2 linked regions of the Xenopus tropicalis genome follow. The protein of the gene in region 2 interacts with the protein of the main gene of each other region in a biochemical or structural test. Links are inferred from orthologs where the notes say so. Each region holds a gene or a part of one and is shown on either strand. Other genes may lie near its edges.

What was found. The genes of interacting proteins can lie anywhere in the genome.
Region 1: of the proteins of prkaa1 (region 2) and rack1, one has a biochemical effect on the other in vitro, tested with the Homo sapiens proteins (2 studies listed by BioGRID). The link is inferred for Xenopus tropicalis from reciprocal best matches to the Homo sapiens genes PRKAA1 and RACK1.

What each region holds. Positions count from the first base shown.
Region 1 is NC_030684.2:71,557,381-71,561,824, reverse strand, and holds the start of rack1 (receptor of activated protein C kinase 1), read left to right. Parts: upstream 1-1,419; 5' UTR 1,420-1,488; coding exon 1,489-1,597; exon of another isoform or gene 1,598-1,725; intron 1,726-2,084; exon of another isoform or gene 2,085-2,179; intron 2,180-2,354; coding exon 2,355-2,526; intron 2,527-2,890; coding exon 2,891-3,038; intron 3,039-3,224; coding exon 3,225-3,320; intron 3,321-4,354; coding exon 4,355-4,444. UniProt on the Homo sapiens protein: Scaffolding protein involved in the recruitment, assembly and/or regulation of a variety of signaling molecules. Interacts with a wide variety of proteins and plays a role in many cellular processes.
Region 2 is NC_030677.2:195,921,195-195,924,254, reverse strand, and holds part of prkaa1 (5'-AMP-activated protein kinase catalytic subunit alpha-1), read right to left. Parts: intron 2,541-3,060; coding exon 2,316-2,540; intron 1,655-2,315; coding exon 1,165-1,654; intron 254-1,164; coding exon 127-253; intron 1-126. UniProt on the Homo sapiens protein: Catalytic subunit of AMP-activated protein kinase (AMPK), an energy sensor protein kinase that plays a key role in regulating cellular energy metabolism.

The sequences.
Region 1 (4,444 bases), on a different chromosome or scaffold from region 2:
CCTGGTGATTGCCCAACAAAGGCATTTTTTTCATTTTAGATTTTACATTGTCTTGAAATTTAAGAGGTATGTTACAATTAGTAATGTGCAGCATGGGCCGCCCTACTATACCCCCAGAATGAATACTTAACCAACAGATAGTTTATATAATTTTAAGTGACCTAGTAATCTCACCAAAATGGAATATATATATATATCAGTAAATATTGCCCAGCTCTAACCGTAACAGGAAGTAGTGTGGGAGTTAAAGACAGAACCCTGTCTATTCATTGGCTGATGGGGCCTAGCATGTATGTGTGCCTTGGCTTGTTTGTGTGCACTGTGAATCCTATGATCCCAGGGGGTGGCCCTTAATTCTTAAAATGGCAATTTTCTATTTATGATTACGCAATAGCACAAACTACTAAAAATGTCTATTTTTATGAAAATGGTTTATTTAGATGAAGCAGGGTTTTACGTATGAGCTTGCTTATGCAATATATTTTTGTAGAGACCTACATTGTTGGGGGCTATAGTTCTCCTTTAATGGTGGTTTCAATCCCAGTTTACAGTTTGGTTCAATCAAAAATAGTGAGAACTTTGCCATAGGCTGCGTGTGGCTTAAAGAGCAGAATTTTTTTTTTTTTATAAGGAAATTGTTCAGTGCAGGAGATACTGCAGTGTCCCTGCCCTAGTTCAGGTGGGGGAGTAAGGAGCAGGGCGCAAGGTGTGGACTATAATGCCAAAAGGTACCCCTACAAACAGAGATAACTCTATAAAGGAGATTCCCCAGTGGTGAAAGAGACCCAGTGGGGCACTGACTAATATAATACATGTAAAGCATGTTTTGAAGCACTTTTAATGTTTCTAATGTTTTATTTCCTGTTTATGACAAAAAAAAACTACTTATGCCTGCCGCCCAGTATCCTCATGATAGTTACGTTTTAAACAACAATATATCCAAGATGTGCGTGTTCCACACTTACGGCAGCTAACATTCCACAACCAATATGGCGCCAGCACACAGTCATATAAGCATGGGAACCCTCTCACGTGTGCTACAATCAGAACGCAAACTAGCCTGCGTACGGTCAGCCTATCCCCGCGATTTCTCTATTTGACAGGGAAAGTAGTCACCAGTTGATTTAATAGCCAATTCTGTTCTAGCGCTTATACCTATGCTTGGAATTCACGTTGTCATTCATATTTTCTTTTTTTGTCTTGTTTTAAAAGATTTTAAAGTAGCGCGATTTTTTAGCCTAAGTTGCACTGTACGACATTCTGCAACTCGCTGCCATGTTGAAACTCGTTTCTGGTGATGTAAACAAGTAATGCATCCGGGTAAAGGCGTCCTGACGCAAGGCGGCGCAGCGCGCTTACGTCAGGACGCCGCTTTGTATAAAAGGCGAGGCGAGGCCTAGTTCAGCCTCTCTTCGGTCGCTTTAGGCCCGGTGTCTACCATCTGTCTCCATCCTTTGCCGGTGGAGCGGTTTCGGACTCATCGCAGCCATGACTGAGCAAATGACACTTCGGGGGACCCTAAAGGGCCATAATGGCTGGGTCACGCAAATCGCGACTACCCCACAATTCCCGGACATGATTCTCAGCTCTTCCAGAGGTGAGATGCATGAGACGCCTACTGTAGCCTATCGATCCACGCAAGTTTATATGCATTGCGGTATCCGGGACCCCGTTTATCGTTAGAACAAGAGCATGAATGCTTACACGTTGCTTTTTTCAGCCCTGGTAAATGTGATTGCTGTAACTACTTAGTGTCGCTGTGTGATATGTTACTGTATCGGGGCTAAAATGGCTCCTCATTCATTATGCGTCATTGGAAGTCCTAACTATAATGAAGCTTTTCTTTATCTGTCGTTTTGATTAGCAAGGGAAAGATGGTGGTAGATTTTGCGGGCTAACTTACCTTTTAATTATGGTGTGAGCGATATATGATGTATAGTGGCAGCTATTGTTTGCTAGAACTTTGTTCCTTAGCCCTTGGTACTGAAGAATTTGCAGGCTGACAATGCCATAGAGTTGTATGAGCAGTGGTGGAAGTGTTTTTTCTTTGCACATCTCATGTCTTCATTTTTCTTGCATACTAGATAACCTCATTCTTCTGGCAGTTTGGGTTGTGCAAAGGAAAAACATCTTCACCTGCTTACAGACATAAAATGAGACACCGTAGACCAATGACAAGGTATGGCATGGCTTCGCTGTGATGGCATGGTTTATTTTGGGAGGGTTACCCCTGTGTGGAACTGCCTTGTTGGAGGTTTACTGCATAGAAGTTGAGGTTACCACTTATTTAAATCAGCAATAGTGTTCTTATGTCCTTTGACTTTTTTTTTTTTTTTTTTTTCCTCTCTGCACAGATAAGACTGTCATCATGTGGAAGCTGACTCGTGATGAAACAAACTATGGGGTTCCACAACGTGCTCTCCGGGGTCACTCCCACTTTGTCAGTGATGTGGTTATCTCTTCAGATGGGCAGTTCGCTCTCTCAGGATCCTGGGATGGAACACTCAGACTGTGGGATCTTACAACGTGAGTACACTTATCCTTGTTCCATTACCTGGCCTGTTAAATGGCTGCTTTTCAGAATGTTCAGCAAAAGTTACTGATCAGCAGCAGGGAATTAGACATGGTTTCAGTACTACAGAATTTGACTTATTACTTGGATAGAAGGAATGACTGGACTAACTTTAGCATTAAGAATCATTTGAGTCCACTTACTGTCAGACCAGAATATCCCTGCAGGGGAAGCATATGACAAAGGACCAGTTAAATAGTAACCTAGGTAGAGGGAAGCTATGAATCTGTCCCTCCCCCTGCAGGGTGGCACAGAAAGGAGTGTTCTGAGGGGAATGGATACTGTCATTTTGTCATCGTGTCAAATATCCCTCTGCAGTGGCACCACCACACGCCGGTTTGTAGGACACACCAAAGATGTCCTGAGTGTCGCTTTCTCTGCTGACAACCGGCAAATTGTGTCTGGATCCCGTGACAAAACAATCAAGCTGTGGAACACTTTAGGCGTTTGTAAATACACTGTGCAGGTATGTATGAGCGTTATAACTATATTTTAGTTCTGTTGGTCCACGTGATTAGAACAATTGTATTCTGAGTGTCTAATATAGGCACACTAATTTCAGGATGACACTCCTGCAATTATGAAGGGACCAAATAAACAGTCATTCTAGGTCTTTTGGCAGGCTGTTTACTAATGAAGCTGTCTTTCTTAGGAGGAATCACATACTGAATGGGTGTCCTGTGTCCGGTTCTCCCCTAACAGCAGTAATCCCATCATTGTATCCTGCGGCTGGGACAAGATGGTGAAGGTGAGTATTTTGGATGCCTCCAGTCTTAATACGGGTTCAGAGTTTTTTTTTTTTTTTTTTTTTTTTTTTTAAATGCATACTTGTTTGGTAAGTAAAGTGTTAAGCAGCTTTAAAGCGTTTTCACTCCCCCTTTAAATAGTGCACTACTGACCCCTCTTAAACAAGTACTAAGAACTAAGCCCTGAAAATAAGTGGCTAGAGATGCCCACTTTTATATACTGAATGTTCAGGTCTTCTGCAGTTGTCACGGGAACTCCCCATCTTGGATTTTATTAGTGTCGGTGACACTCGTGCTCAGTGTGCAGTTGAGATGCTAAGTCTAGGGGTTGTCGCAAATTTTCTAGCCTGTCAATAGTTCTAAGCTCGGGAAACAGAACAGAACAGAACATGTGCAGTGAATCATCAGAAAAGATGGGAAGCTACTGGGGCACATTACTTCTAAAGGGCTATGATTTCCTAGGGCTGTTACAAAAGCGCAAAACACATAATGTAAAAATAATTATGCCCTACTTCTGTAGTTAATCTTGCAGCTCTGCTTTCAGCCCCCATACATGGGCCTACCAGACACAGCATTTGAGTGATGAATGAATATTGTAGTGGCAGTACATGTGTGGCTTTTTTTTCTATTCAGTGTCGACACTGAACAAATTAGACAAATTGCAGAGTTGCTGCTTCCCTTCTGGCTGACTGGAAATTGGCCATGAGGACTGCTGATCCTTGATCTACCAGAATCATGGAATTATTTATCTTCCCCCCCCCCCCCCCCCCATCCTTTTGTATTGGCTATATAGGCACACAAAGTAGGCCCATATGGTCAAAATTGGCCAAACTACCCTACCAAGTCATGGCCAGTATCCTCTTGCACCTTTTTAAGAATACCATATGGTACAGGTTGTTTACTATATGAAATCTTTCTCTCCATAGTTTAACATCTGTGGATATGTACATAGTGCATTTAATCTTTTTTTTCTGTGTACACATCCTTGGATTCCAGTAGCCTATAGTTGTATTCTAAATGACTTTTCTTATTTCAGGTCTGGAATCTGGCCAATTGCAAACTGAAGACCAACCACATTGGTCACAGTGGTTACTTGAACACTGTTACGGTGTCACCTGATGGGTCT
Region 2 (3,060 bases):
CCCAGAGTTTTATTGCTGCGACTGCCTCTGTGACAGGCTGGTAGAAGGTAATAAAAACCATAAAAGGCATCAGCAGCCAAACATTTGGCATTACTATTCCGAAAGTAGCACAGAAATGTCACATACCGTCAATGCTGCGGAAATCCAGCAGGTAAGTTCTGCTATCCACTTGGTACAGCTGGAGGCTCATCTTAGTGTACATGCTAGTAACGGGATTCTTCCTTCTTACGCGCAGGTAGTATGGATTTACAACCTCAATATGGGAAAAATAATAAGGGAAATTAGTCTCTTGCACATGGATCAAATGTAGTCCCTTGCACATGGATCAATGCAGTTATGAATCTGTCGCTACAGACTTAAAGGAACAGTAACACCAAAAAATAAGTGGTTTAATGTAATTATAAAATATATTGTACTGTTGCCCCAACACTGGTAACATGGGAGTGTTTGCTACAGAAACACTTCTATAGTTTATATACATAAGCTGCTGTGTAGCTATGAAGGTAGCCATTCATAGGGGAAAAGGCTCATGTTATATAGCAGATAAGCTCTGTAGAACACTATATTATATTTCACAGACCTAATCTGTAACCTGCTAATTAACCTGCACCATTAATCCCTATTTCAATTGCCTCCATTGCTACACAGCAGCTTGCTTATATATATTATAGTAGTGATTCTGAAGCTAACACACCCATTCTAGCTGTGCAGGGCAGAGGTACACTTTATTATAATTACTTTAAAACACTATCATTTTTTTCGAGTTACTGTTCCTTTAAATGGACTTATCCATCCCATGAATGGGGGCCCACGCAGTGTTGGACTGGCCCACCAGCATACCAGGAAAACTCCCGGTGGGCCCAGGGGTCAGTGGGCCCTCCTGCTTCTGGTCATTTGGCCTGTTTCATGGTCATTACCTATTTCTGAATGGGAACAAAGAGGAGAAATAGATGGAAGAATAGATGCTAGCATGTAAATAAGAGAGACTAGGAGAATAAAGTGGTTTATTGAGAAAAGGAGGAAAAACTGTTCAGAGATTGGGCCCATGGTCTTAGGTTTTCCAATGGGCCCCTGGGTTCCCAGTCCGACACTGGGCCCACGGCACCTCTTCCCTTACAGTGTTAGTAAAAGCTTGCAGAAAGAAACCCAAGTGCAAGAGCTTACCTTCCACTCATAGCCCAGCTGTTTCATTGCTCGGCAAACCTCTGCCATGATATCGTTTGGGCGGCTCTGACTTCGAATGCCTAAATGCCATTTGGCTCTTCTCACACCAACCTGGTGTTTGGTCTTTTGTGGGTTTAACTCATCGAGAGTGTGTCGTTGCCGGGGTGACTCGGCCACTAAAAAGGGAACTCTCTCTGGGTGAGGCCGAGCAACTTGAGGCTCTTCCATAAAGGAATCCGGAGGGCTGGTAGCCAAATAGAAGTCTTTGGCCTCATTCATTATGCGGCGATTATCTATGATCAGATGGTAGGCGACTGCCAACGGGTCCTGGTGGTTGCGACTGTACAAGCAGCTCAGCACTTCCTCCTCCAAGCACTCGCACTTCTCACACACTTCTTTTAAGGCTTCGTCGTCTATCATATTGGAACTGTACGATGGATCCTCGGGAAACAGATATTTAGGAAGATCTAGCTTGAACCATTCATGTTCCCTAAGAGGCAGAGTATCAGTTTAGGAATACAAGAATATTAAATAAATCTAGTTTTTTACTTTTGTTTTACAGTAATGCACCGTTAAGCATAGACTCCGGCTTGGGACTCCTCTATTTACATGGGAGTAGGAGAAACAATAGGTTACCTGAAAGCAGTTCTAACATGGAGCACTGGCTCCTTCTGAAAGCTCAGACTCAGGCACAATAAAAGGCAAATCACTTGGGGTTCCAAAATGTTAGGCACCCCCAAGTGACTTTAATCGCTTACCTTGTACCCCCGGCTGGTGTCCCTGTTTGGAGAAAACAGCACCAGCCCGGGGTACCTGTAGCGAGCGCTTCCTCCTTCGTTTTGCTGGCAAATTCCCGGAGCATGTGCATTAGAGTAAAAAGCCGACTTCTCTGTTAAAGTTCCACTATTCACCCTACTGAGCATGCGCGCGCAAGCGAAAAGGAAGGAGGAAGCGCTGCACCTGCCCCGGGCTGTTGCTGTTCTCTCCGAGCAGGGGCACCAGCCCGGGGTAAAAGGTGGGCGATTTAAGTGACTTTTGCCTTTCCTTCTCCTTTAAATGGTATAGTGAATTATTTGCCATGTAAATAAGTGTAATTTAACAACATCATGACAGCATACCTTTAAGTGGTTTTTAACAGTTCAAGAACTTACCGAATATCTTTGATGGTTGCCCTTTTCATGGGATCCACCAGCAGCATGTGCTTTAGAAGGCTAATGACGGGAGGGTTCAGGTACTGGGGTGTGTAGAAGATGCCATCACATATCTTCTTAAAAAGTGTTGGCACATGATCATCATCAAAAGGGAGAGTTCCACAGAGTAACGCATACAGGATGACCCCGCAGCTCCATATGTCCACCTCTGGGCCAGCATAAAGCCTGCAACAACACATGGAGAGGTTCAATGCCTATTTAGTACAATCTGACTTACTGAGTAGGAAGGTGGCGGCAATGGGTTAGCTGTGGTGGGCCTGGGTCTGTTGGCAGATGAGCCCTTTTGGGGACAACTGGAGTTTAGGCACCATTCCAACCATAGCTCATTCTGGCCAAGATAGCTAGAATAGAGGGAAACTCTTTACAAGTTAGAATTTTCAGAGACTTCAATAAAAACCCCAGTGCCTCCAGGGATTCCACAGGGCCAGAAAAAGAAAAAAAAACATTTATTTTCTGAAGTTTACATTTAAAAAAAAAGGCCCAGTTGTCCTGCATGTTTTATGCCCAGGCACAGTACAAAAAAAACCAAAACAAACATTACATATACATTATAGCCAATAAAAAGAGGTTTTCACCATGTTCCTGAATCCTACCCGCAAACACACTCCAAATGCCATACACACTGCCCAAAGGAACAGACCAATAAACGATAAGGAGTTTGCTTACTTAGGTGATTCAGAGATTC